3 linked regions of the Saccharomyces cerevisiae S288C genome follow. Changing the gene in region 2 together with the main gene of any one other region gives a genetic interaction. Each region holds a gene or a part of one and is shown on either strand. Other genes may lie near its edges. The genes, in order: ALG11, MNN1 and OCH1.

Region 1 (3,978 bases), on a different chromosome or scaffold from region 2:
CTTAGTAACATCGTTCAAACTGGTGGCATTAAAACCAGGATAAAAATGTGTTTGACCACCAGAAAAACGGCCCAGGTGAGATAGAGTGGCAACGTCCATGTAGTCCTCTGATGCCAGAAACATGTCCACTGTTATTTGTAGTTTATTACACTCAATTGTGAATGTTTTATAAAAGGAATCTTTACACGACAGTAGCTGAGAGCTTTCTTTTGGTGTGTTTAATATGCCCTGTTCACTTCTTTTTTTCAATTTCCCGATGCCAGTATTTGGTAAAGTTGATGAAATGACTTCAACTTTGCCTCCAGTGCTTTTTATCAAATTTGACGCAGCTTTTAGGGCAGGTCCAAGTGCAAACTTGCTACTGTGTGTGTCTTGAAAAATTTCAGGTATCTTTTTCAACAATGTTTCCAGATTATTTTTACAATATTTTAGTGGAACTACTAATTCATCACTCGGCATTGGTAAAAATGGTTCATCCAAATCGCCAATATCAAACATTTGAATTGTTTCTGAATTATCAACGTCTTCCTCTTCCTCGTCTTCATCTTCTTCTTCACCATCTGATTCTTCATCATCCTCATCCGATACTTCATAATCATCATCCAAAGGAACGTAAAAATAATGAAGGCTATGATCAACACATATAATAGCAATTCTGGTCCTTCCATCATGATTTGGTAGAAATTCTATGTTTTCTAAAATGGTTCTGGCAGAAGTAGCCAATAAACCATTTTTGACAGCGTTTTGAGAAACATCTAAAAGAAATACATAAACAGATGGTGGGGGTTCCCTAACAGAATATTCTACGGGAGCCAAGTAATCCACGACAGAGTTTTTAATTTCGTTTCTTTCATATCTGTTGATTGGAGCGCCTTGTAAGTTCTGATCAAACCCAAATGGGACATCATTTTTGAAACGGCATATATTACATTGCCATTTTCTCCCTTGGTTAATGAAAACGACAAAAGGGTTCATATATGAACGACAACGGCGACAGCGGACAATGACTCCGTCAGTATTTAGCGGTACTTGGTTGTCTGAATCTTGCAAATGCAAATATGGTCTAATAACAATGGCAAATGGTAACTTCGTTTTCTTCAGCAGAGAGTTTGTTTTTGGCACCGCTTTCAAAGTAGATCTGACGTACTGGTATGGAACATTTGAATATTCGGATGGAGTCACAATGTTATCCTGAGAAATGGTGATTGGAAGAGGTGGTAAAGACAGGTCACGGATTGGCGGAGGTAATTCTGTAAACAAATCCACAGGGTATAGTTGATTGACCACTTTCCCAGAACCAGGAAACTGTTGATTTTGAGCTAGCTGTGTAAATGAGTTAGCCCTATTGTTCAATTGTAGGTTGCCCATTGCATAAGCTGTTTGGTCGATTTGTTGTTGAGACTGCTGTTGCTCTGCAACTATTGGCATACTTGCAATGTATGGCACCTGAGCTTGAGGGTACACCCTCTTCTTATGATGAGACATTATTCACTGCAGCTGTCGATCATTAATGGAAGAAGGTTCATCAACCAAGCACACTGCAAATGAAGGGTTAGATGAAGAGTTCGACGAAGACCCTTTTAACTGACGTATCATTCATCGTTGTCATCGCTACATCTATGTCCTTCGGGTAAGCTAAACAAAAAGTGAAAAGTTCAATAAATAATAAGATTGAGAGGTAAGTGAAGTGAAGATAGATGTTAGTATCCAAGTGTGACCAACATGTTCAGGTGATTGCAGGCGAAAATGGGCAGTGCTTGGACAAACTACAATTTTGAAGAGGTTAAGTCTCATTTTGGGTTCAAAAAATATGTTGTATCATCTTTAGTACTAGTGTATGGACTAATTAAGGTTCTCACGTGGATCTTCCGTCAATGGGTGTATTCCAGCTTGAATCCGTTCTCCAAAAAATCTTCATTACTGAACAGAGCAGTTGCCTCCTGTGGTGAGAAGAATGTGAAAGTTTTTGGTTTTTTTCATCCGTATTGTAATGCTGGTGGTGGTGGGGAAAAAGTGCTCTGGAAAGCTGTAGATATCACTTTGAGAAAAGATGCTAAGAACGTTATTGTCATTTATTCAGGGGATTTTGTGAATGGAGAGAATGTTACTCCGGAGAATATTCTAAATAATGTGAAAGCGAAGTTCGATTACGACTTGGATTCGGATAGAATATTTTTCATTTCATTGAAGCTAAGATACTTGGTGGATTCTTCAACATGGAAGCATTTCACGTTGATTGGACAAGCAATTGGATCAATGATTCTCGCATTTGAATCCATTATTCAGTGTCCACCTGATATATGGATTGATACAATGGGGTACCCTTTCAGCTATCCTATTATTGCTAGGTTTTTGAGGAGAATTCCTATCGTCACATATACGCATTATCCGATAATGTCAAAAGACATGTTAAATAAGCTGTTCAAAATGCCCAAGAAGGGTATCAAAGTTTACGGTAAAATATTATACTGGAAAGTTTTTATGTTAATTTATCAATCCATTGGTTCTAAAATTGATATTGTAATCACAAACTCAACATGGACAAATAACCACATAAAGCAAATTTGGCAATCCAATACGTGTAAAATTATATATCCTCCATGCTCTACTGAGAAATTAGTAGATTGGAAGCAAAAGTTTGGTACTGCAAAGGGTGAGAGATTAAATCAAGCAATTGTGTTGGCACAATTTCGTCCTGAGAAACGTCATAAGTTAATCATTGAGTCCTTTGCAACTTTCTTGAAAAATTTACCGGATTCTGTATCGCCAATTAAATTGATAATGGCGGGGTCCACTAGATCCAAGCAAGATGAAAATTATGTTAAAAGTTTACAAGACTGGTCAGAAAATGTATTAAAAATTCCTAAACATTTGATATCATTCGAAAAAAATCTGCCCTTCGATAAGATTGAAATATTACTAAACAAATCTACTTTCGGTGTTAATGCCATGTGGAATGAGCACTTTGGAATTGCAGTTGTAGAGTATATGGCTTCCGGTTTGATCCCCATAGTTCATGCCTCGGCGGGCCCATTGTTAGATATAGTTACTCCATGGGATGCCAACGGGAATATCGGAAAAGCTCCACCACAATGGGAGTTACAAAAGAAATATTTTGCAAAACTCGAAGATGATGGTGAAACTACTGGATTTTTCTTTAAAGAGCCGAGTGATCCTGATTATAACACAACCAAAGATCCTCTGAGATACCCTAATTTGTCCGACCTTTTCTTACAAATTACGAAACTGGACTATGACTGCCTAAGGGTGATGGGCGCAAGAAACCAGCAGTATTCATTGTATAAATTCTCTGATTTGAAGTTTGATAAAGATTGGGAAAACTTTGTACTGAATCCTATTTGTAAATTATTAGAAGAGGAGGAAAGGGGCTGATGTTTTTTGAAAATAGAAGCCTTGTTTATGAGAAAACTTATACATAATATTACATACAAACTAGAGCATTACTATATAATTAACTTACTTGTCACAGCTGATTGCTTTTTCTAGGGGAATCTACATTTTCAATGTAAAATTCAGGAACCCTATTCTGAATTTGTGAATCATTCGTTTCCGGTATCGATGACGTGGTGTTAGTGATTGTCAAATTGTCTAATTTTGGAATGGAATTCAAGGGAAAATTGCTACTACTCACATCATCGTATCTCGTATGTTGCTCATTAGTTACCTGGGGGGTCACGCTCTCCGTGGTGTTTTCATTACTCTTGGCTTTTTCTTTAGACAGTTTGGCAACTTTACTCACATATTTGCATTTGTCGTCATAGTTGGGCAAACTTGATAAGGCTTTGATATTTCCAAACCATTCTATCATATCGTCATAAGAGTCTACTTTGAATACCCAGTTGTGACCCCTATGTATTAGTCCGTTAGAATTCGTACGCAATATAAACTTGTTCTTGCCCTGCTCTGAGTTGGATTTCGTCTTTTTGGAATGCTCAGTGACAGTACATTCCACTAATG
Region 2 (4,744 bases):
CAATGGTCATAATGCGAGTATGTGCACTAGTTAAATATGAAAAGAAATTACCCAAAAGATTACTGCACAGTTATTTACACTAGAAAGTAATATCAGGTAAACATTACGATTATAATTAGTACCTATTATCACAGGTACTTAAGCGGCCTTTTTATGCTGTTGGAAGCCCAATAGTTTTATCTAAGATAAAAGCTTTCAATGACTCTTTGACGTAGACTTTCTGAATAAGAGAAATATAAAACTTGCCTGAAAAAAAAGAATAAAAAATAAAAGAAAAAGAAAACCTTCACCAGATTCTCAACAATTATTAAGTTAATTTGATTATTAAAAGAGTAAAAAAAATATATATACGTATATGTAGCATTATGCCAATATGAATTACTATTATTTATCAAATCGATCGAAAGCATTGTGTATTACCTTCTTTTCTAGAGGTTTATGTGCAAAGTGAGGTAATTCCAATAAAACTCCTAACCGTCAAAGTGTAATAAACAAGGTTCTTAAAAAACTACGTCCGATATGCTTTACTATACATGTTCACAAAGGCTAGTACCATAAACAGTTAGAAAAAACACTGGTTAATGCATTCTAGCTTTGTTCGTGTCTAGAATTTTCTAATTCCTTGATCTCTTCTTCAGTGAATGATCTGGTGTTATCTTTATTAGCATGTGACCAAACAGTGTTGACAGCATCAATATGTAGGCGCTGCTCCTCATCTAGAGTTATTAATTCGCCGTGAGTGGTTCTGTGGTTATAACTATATGGCTTTAGGAGGGTTTTATGTGTGGCACACCATATATAACCACCACAAGCACCTGCAGAGGCCCTATGCCAATCATCAGATTTTGGATCAGGTAAGATGACATATTTGCTGCTGATTGGAGTTATGTAATAATATTTTTCCATTTCTTCAAAAGTCTTGAATTGATCTTTGAATTTCTTAAAGTCGCCATCTTTTTTCCAATCATCTTTAGCAGCATTATCGTGTTTACAAAAGGTACCTCCACCGTTAACCCAAAGTAAAGTTTTCTTATCAGTAGACATATGTGCTATTTGCCCGGAACATATTTCGACTGCAGCTTCTTGCCTCTTTCCGTTCAAGTCGGTTTTCTTTACATAATCACCAATAGCTCCGGAATACACTCCCTGCAGTGCATAAGTGTGACCTGCGGCCAAGAACCCTAACCAGAAATTCTCTTTATCACCATGTGTGCAGTGGGCTGTATTTTTGGCCAAATGAATCATAGCAGCAAGCACTAGGGGGATCGTGTGTTTTGATTTGTCGACAGCAAATAAACCAGCTTCTAACTGGTGCTGCCTTCTATGATGAAAAAAAGCTTTGAATATGTACTCTTCTGTAGTTAAAGTATTGTCACATTCGTTGAGAGCATGATCAGGATCGATAAGAAGTGAGTTTTGGAAATTTTTAGATTCAAGGTTTCTAGGCAATAGAGTTTCATATCTAGCAATACATCTTTCATTCACGTTTTCTCTTAGCGCCCTTTCCCTGTAAAATACAGTTCCTGTCTTCTGGTATTCAGTGGTCTTGAAGTAGTTATCAATTTTTTCATAACTAATAGCATCAATATCTAAAAAGACAAATTCTTGCAAAAGATTGAGTAGAACCACTAGCCATTTACTTTTATAACTACCGAAGTCACCTCGCCACTTAGGGTGGATGGTATTAGAAACATCTAGGAACCAAATTTCTTGTGGAACATTGGTAGAATTATCGTAATTATTTTCTACTGGTTTGAAATCAGGACTTCTAGCAGCATATATAAGTTTGTCCACTAGTTCTTGCGACAGCTCATCGCCTCTATAGACCACTTGGATCGGTAAAGTATTCCCTTCAAATCTCAAAGAAGCAATAAATTTGACAGCTAATGGAAATTGGTTGGAACCTAAACTCAATACAATACCACGACCGGCTACTTTGGCGCTCATATCCCTCCAATTGGCCCAGAAGGTTTTTGATGGATCGTATTCATATTTGAAATACTCCTGCACTTTACCAGTTTTATGATCGAACTTGGGTAAGAAGCCTTGCTCTAATACTTTTCCAAAAGGTGATGTGATTTTTGGAACCATCTCATGAAAAGTCTCTGTGGTAAAGTTATTTATAAACGGAAACATTTTGTGCTCGAATTCGAATTGATCGTATTTCTTAAAATTGTCTGGATCATAATTAGGGAAAGTAGCATTTAAGGTTTTGATTAATTTTGATTGAACCCTCTCTTTCGACATCTTATCACTTTTCGGAAAAATTTCTTGAATATTAACTGGATTGGCCTGCATAAAACATCTATCATAGGCTCTTATTCTCTCAAATGCCTGGAACATATCATATTTCCGGCGATACAATCTCTCGGATTTCTCATCCATTGGATTTCCATTCGCATCTTTACCTTCGTCAACTCCTTCATTATCATTTATGCTGTACTCCAGTTTCTTCACACTATTAGTCCATTCATCGTCTAGCGTATACAGTGTCCGGAAATAAAATTTACATCTATCAGTTAAGCTTAATTCGTTGAAATGCTTATAATAGCCCTTCTTATTGATTAGCCAACTAGAACTCCTTTTAGTATCTATAGACTGGTCATAAAATGGAACTAATTCTAGTGGCGATACTGGAATTGTATCCACTGGGTCGACCTCAGGAGAGCCGAAGGCTTCAATAAGAACCTTAGGATCTGCATCTTTCAATGTTTTCTTGTTTGTACTGTTTACATTGCTTGATCGTATAAGCGCATCATTTCGGTGGGTAACTAGTTGGAATAGCACGAGAATAATGATCAAGGCTCCGACTAGAATCGGTATGGTACACGATCTCAAAGACCTTTGGTTTAATATAAATCTCCGGAGTGCCAACATTTAATACACAGTAACACTTTCTTAAACTAGCGTTAAATACCGCAAGATTACGTTTTTCGAGAGTACGAAGCAAGACCAGGACATTTAGCATTACGAATATTATTTATTTCACTTATGAGTCCTTTTTATAATACCTCCTTAATATAATCTTGCCTAATACATTGCAACGTTTTCGCAAAAGAAGAAACTCAAGGCTTAAAGAAGAAAAGGTAGACTTTGCGGTGGCGCCGGAGCCTCATTCTGAGATACCTTAAAAGGTTGAATATCAACTCAAAATGTCAGTAGCTCATCGTTCTGCGAGAGCGTGTCTAAAGATAAGCCGATAGTTTGTATCCTATTTAGGTTAAAAGCACGTGGCACGAGAAACGCGCACGCACTTTCCACCATTTTTCTGCATGGTGGCGGTCCGGCCAATTGAGACCTCGCAATGATTAAGTCTTCCGAGCGCCAGGGTTCGAAAAGTGGGATGCCTTGGTTGTTTTCTTTTTTTTTTCGCGATTGTTTTACAACTTAATAGGTGTTGCCCAACTATTCGTAAAAGGATCAGTGAGTCAGTAGTGAGCAATATATGCAGAAAGAGTACTTTTTTTTTTTTCTGACGCAGAAGAGAGAGTTCCTATCTCAGGGAGAGAAACTTCAATGTATTAGGTTTTCTTCGGATCCGTGGGCACTTCTTGCCGCGTTTGCATATGCAGAAAGAAATGAAGAAAAAAGAAAATGAATTAAAACGCGAAATAAAGCGATGCCGCTATAATGGAAAAAAAGGAGTCGCGACATATGTATATGCATTCATCGTTCTCATATATTGCACGTTCCGACCACGATTATAGAGTCATCTACCATACACCATTATTATACTTTCTCTTCCTATCTGTCCAACATTTCTAGATAAGCCTTACTACGCTATCAAATGGTTAGTCTTGCTGTCTTCTAAATTTAGATCTCTTTCGTTGTTCGTCCATAAGGGTTCTTTCTTGATGCAGGATATGCATTTACGTTATTTTTTGTACGTCGTACTCTGGCTTATCGATGAATACAGACATTGAATAGCTAGTGATATTTTATCGGAAACGTGTACCGTGAAATGGTAAAAGTTTTGTTTGACTTTGAGCCAAAGTAGTTACCATGGTTGTTTTTTTCTTAATCTTGAAGGTAATCAGGATAAAGAGAATTACAACCATGTTCGTAGCTAAAAATCTCCTTATAGCTAACAACTGCTATTTATGTGCGGCTTTGTCAGCAGGAATTATACCGCATTTCCTTGATTTACTGTCTTAAGCTCACCTTCAACATTGTTTAGCAGTAACATTGTACTTTATTTTTAAGGAATAGTTTAGTTGAAACGCCAACAGTGGCTTGCACTAAACAAGACTTTATACTACGTTTAGTTTTTCTTTTCCTTTTCTTGAAACCTTTTTTTCTTTTCGGAAATCTAATACTGCTACAATTTTTATATATTTTTCAAATTTTTTATTTAATAAATATTGAAATAGAAAATGAAATTAAATTTATATTTTTTAAAAAGCACGTGATTAATTTGATGTTTCATAGAAATTTTAGTTTAATATTGAATCAGTCATTTACAGATTCATAGTTCTTAAATAAAACATATCTCGGACTTATGTAGCATGTAGGAGAGATGTATTTTTGCTTGGCCCTTTGTTTACCAATTAATCACATCTGCATTGAATGGGCTTGATGGTAGGCAAGCGTTCCCCTGTTAATGAAGAAACCCATTCAACAAGGAAGAAAAGTGGACTAATTTGATATTTCAATGTGTTAGTTAAAGCAAAAAGAATTCAAGAGTAAATATTTGAATTTACTTCATTTGTTAAGGTTAACAATTTAAGGTGTTGATTCTTTAAAA
Region 3 (3,802 bases), on a different chromosome or scaffold from region 2:
GGTGTCTTGGGAGACCCGCGAGGCTGCAGTCACCAGTGGTGCATGGCCAGCACACTTCTGCATTCTGGTGGTGAGGGTTCTGTACTGCTTATATTGTTGCTATTGGTTAATTATGCCTTTTGTTTTCCTCTTTCCCTACGATCCTCCTTATATGAAACAGAAAAAACTGCCGCCGAGATCCAAGCAGAAAAAAATATATTAAGTCAAGGATCAAGGTGGCACACAGGGTAATGAAATTTTTATATTATATATATAAATAAATATCCATATGTCATTGTTAACGTCTTCCGTTGCTAAAATCATACGTCGTTATATACGTTATCGCTTTATACGTGTTAGCTCGATATCATTTGGGACGTGCCGAAATCTCGCGGAATGTTTCCGAAAAAAAAGAAAGAAAAAAAAAAAGGGGCAGGCCCCACAAAGGGGCGCCGCGTGGTGTTACGTACTGGAAAAGTGAATTATGAAAAAAAAGTTCTTCAAGGGGCAGGGGTTTCCGTTTGGCCCACTATGTATGTGTCTCCAGATACGATTATGATGTGCTAATAGTTATTAATAAAACTATATATATATATATTACTCATATATATATTTTCATATACAATGTACTCTTAACTGGTACCTGGTTGGATGCAATAGGTGAGGAAACCTTCAAACAAAACTTTCTTTTACGATTATCTATATCTTTGTTAGAAAGAATAAAATACAGTACAAAAATGAAGACTTTAATTGTTGTTGATATGCAAAATGATTTTATTTCACCTTTAGGTTCCTTGACTGTTCCAAAAGGTGAGGAATTAATCAATCCTATCTCGGATTTGATGCAAGATGCTGATAGAGACTGGCACAGGATTGTGGTCACCAGAGATTGGCACCCTTCCAGACATATTTCGTTCGCAAAGAACCATAAAGATAAAGAACCCTATTCAACATACACCTACCACTCTCCAAGGCCAGGCGATGATTCCACGCAAGAGGGTATTTTGTGGCCCGTACACTGTGTGAAAAACACCTGGGGTAGTCAATTGGTTGACCAAATAATGGACCAAGTGGTCACTAAGCATATTAAGATTGTCGACAAGGGTTTCTTGACTGACCGTGAATACTACTCCGCCTTCCACGACATCTGGAACTTCCATAAGACCGACATGAACAAGTACTTAGAAAAGCATCATACAGACGAGGTTTACATTGTCGGTGTAGCTTTGGAGTATTGTGTCAAAGCCACCGCCATTTCCGCTGCAGAACTAGGTTATAAGACCACTGTCCTGCTGGATTACACAAGACCCATCAGCGATGATCCCGAAGTCATCAATAAGGTTAAGGAAGAGTTGAAGGCCCACAACATCAATGTCGTGGATAAATAAGAGCTGAATAATACTTCTTCAACCTGATGAACTAGGGTGGCTTGCAAATGCACAAATCTATATAACAATATCTATATATATGTATGTACACCGAATTCCGACATATGGAGAAGGAATAATAAAATATTAACTAACGTCTTTACGCCTCTCTTTATTCTTTTTTGGGTAAATTGCTTAAACTATTTGGCCGGCCCACCGCGAAAAGATTTGGCTGGGCCTCAACTAAACGCGCCTTTTTGGACTTTTCACGTTGCAGGGACAGCAACGTCAAAACTTCTGCATTAAGGTAGTTTGGTAGCTTGGTAGCCACTTTAGTATTTCTGCCTTCTTCGAATACCGACATTATTTCTCGCCAATCCACATTCTCTCTCCCCATCTGCATCCTTTTATATTTAATAGGGATAGGTTGTTTTAGTTCTTTGATTCCGTTTTCATTTCAAGAGCAATAATAGCAATTTGGAAAAAGAAAGCAAGTAAAAGAAAGAAGAGATCATGTCTAGGAAGTTGTCCCACCTGATCGCTACAAGGAAATCAAAAACAATAGTCGTAACCGTACTTCTTATTTATTCTTTGTTGACATTTCACTTGTCAAACAAAAGGCTGCTTTCTCAGTTTTACCCTAGCAAAGATGATTTCAAGCAAACTCTTCTCCCTACGACTTCTCATTCACAAGATATAAATTTGAAGAAACAAATTACAGTTAACAAGAAAAAAAATCAATTGCATAATTTACGTGATCAATTATCGTTTGCGTTTCCCTACGACTCTCAGGCCCCCATCCCGCAAAGGGTGTGGCAGACCTGGAAAGTCGGCGCAGATGATAAGAATTTTCCCTCTTCGTTCAGAACCTATCAAAAAACATGGTCTGGTTCGTATTCACCGGATTACCAATATTCTCTGATTTCGGATGATTCTATTATCCCTTTTTTGGAGAATCTTTACGCACCCGTTCCGATAGTCATCCAAGCGTTTAAATTGATGCCTGGAAATATCCTAAAGGCAGATTTTTTAAGGTACCTATTATTATTTGCAAGAGGTGGTATTTACTCAGATATGGATACTATGCTTTTGAAGCCAATTGATTCATGGCCTTCTCAGAATAAGTCATGGCTAAACAACATAATAGATTTGAATAAACCTATTCCTTATAAGAACTCAAAGCCCTCACTTCTCTCAAGTGATGAGATATCACACCAGCCAGGTTTGGTCATCGGCATTGAGGCAGATCCGGACAGAGATGATTGGAGTGAATGGTATGCTCGTAGGATCCAGTTTTGTCAATGGACTATCCAAGCCAAACCAGGTCACCCAATTCTAAGAGAATTGATCTTAAATATTACTGCAACGACTTTGGCGAGCGTACAAAACCCAGGAGTTCCTGTCAGTGAAATGATTGATCCAAGATTTGAAGAAGACTACAACGTAAACTATAGGCACAAAAGACGTCATGATGAGACCTACAAACACTCCGAATTGAAAAATAACAAAAATGTTGATGGCTCAGATATAATGAATTGGACGGGTCCAGGTATTTTCTCCGACATTATTTTCGAATACATGAACAATGTGCTCCGATACAATAGCGATATCTTGTTAATCAACCCAAACCTAAACAAGAACGACGAAGAAGGTAGTGAGAGTGCCACCACACCAGCAAAAGATGTTGATAACGATACGCTGTCCAAATCAACAAGAAAATTTTATAAGAAAATATCAGAGTCTTTGCAATCGTCAAATTCAATGCCCTGGGAATTCTTCTCTTTTTTGAAAGAACCAGTTATCGTTGATGATGTGATGGTTCTACCAATAACAAGTTTTTCACCAGATGTGGGGCAGATGGGCGCCCAGTCTAGTGACGACAAAATGGCTTTTGTAAAGCACATGTTTAGCGGGAGCTGGAAAGAAGATGCTGATAAAAATGCAGGTCATAAATAACGAGGCTCTCCTTTCATCATACCCTCTCTAAATAAAATTTATTCCTAGTTATTCCTTTCTTCTTCATATCCTTAATCATGCATTCACTGCCATGTGCAAATAAAGGCTCTTGTGGTAGAAACTTTTAGCTCAAACGTGGTAAAACTATCTCAACGTCCTTCCGTAGACAACTGGTGAGCAGTGCTTCTGTAACACTGCAGATCTCCAATGATAAATCGATACCGTACTAACTGCCCGCACTATAATGAACTCTTTGTATCCGTAACTATTTAAAATATTCATTCATTTCTATAAGCTATATGTTTATATTTAGATTAGAGGGGTTAAAAGAAAGTTTTTCTCGAAAGCTTAATTTTAGCTTTTACTTTGAACTTCTAGTAATTGCGAGGCAGTATCGACAATGCAATCTCTGAACTTATTAAATTGGAATCCTAATAAATTTTTGGTTTTGCGGTTGTCGCACTTGCAGCAGTTTTTTGTCAAAAAGGTTGAGCCGCTAC

What was found.
Region 1: of MNN1 (region 2) and ALG11, changing one enhances a phenotype caused by changing the other (phenotypic enhancement), as found in Saccharomyces cerevisiae (one study listed by BioGRID).
Region 3: of MNN1 (region 2) and OCH1, changing one enhances a phenotype caused by changing the other (phenotypic enhancement), as found in Saccharomyces cerevisiae (2 studies listed by BioGRID).

Annotation. Positions count from the first base shown.
Region 1 is NC_001146.8:536,427-540,404, forward strand, and holds ALG11 (alpha-1,2-mannosyltransferase ALG11), read left to right. Parts: upstream 1-1,746; coding exon 1,747-3,393; downstream 3,394-3,978. Other genes in the region: COPII subunit SFB2, read right to left, coding at 1-1,485; SLM2 (phosphatidylinositol 4,5-bisphosphate-binding protein), read right to left, coding at 3,485-3,978.
Region 2 is NC_001137.3:151,653-156,396, reverse strand, and holds MNN1 (alpha-1,3-mannosyltransferase MNN1), read right to left. Parts: upstream 2,878-4,744; coding exon 589-2,877; downstream 1-588. UniProt on the Saccharomyces cerevisiae protein: Responsible for addition of the terminal mannose residues to the outer chain of core N-linked polysaccharides and to O-linked mannotriose. Implicated in late Golgi modifications.
Region 3 is NC_001139.9:424,862-428,663, reverse strand, and holds OCH1 (initiation-specific alpha-1,6-mannosyltransferase), read left to right. Parts: upstream 1-1,859; coding exon 1,860-3,302; downstream 3,303-3,802. Other genes in the region: VIR1 (Vir1p), read right to left, coding at 1-63; PNC1 (nicotinamidase), read left to right, coding at 717-1,367; YGL039W (carbonyl reductase (NADPH-dependent)), read right to left, coding at 3,657-3,802. UniProt on the Saccharomyces cerevisiae protein: Mannosyltransferase involved in outer chain elongation of asparagine-linked oligosaccharides of the type Man(9)GlcNAc(2). Adds the first alpha-1,6-mannose to the Man(8)GlcNAc(2) and Man(9)GlcNAc(2), but not Man(5)GlcNAc(2), endoplasmic reticulum intermediates.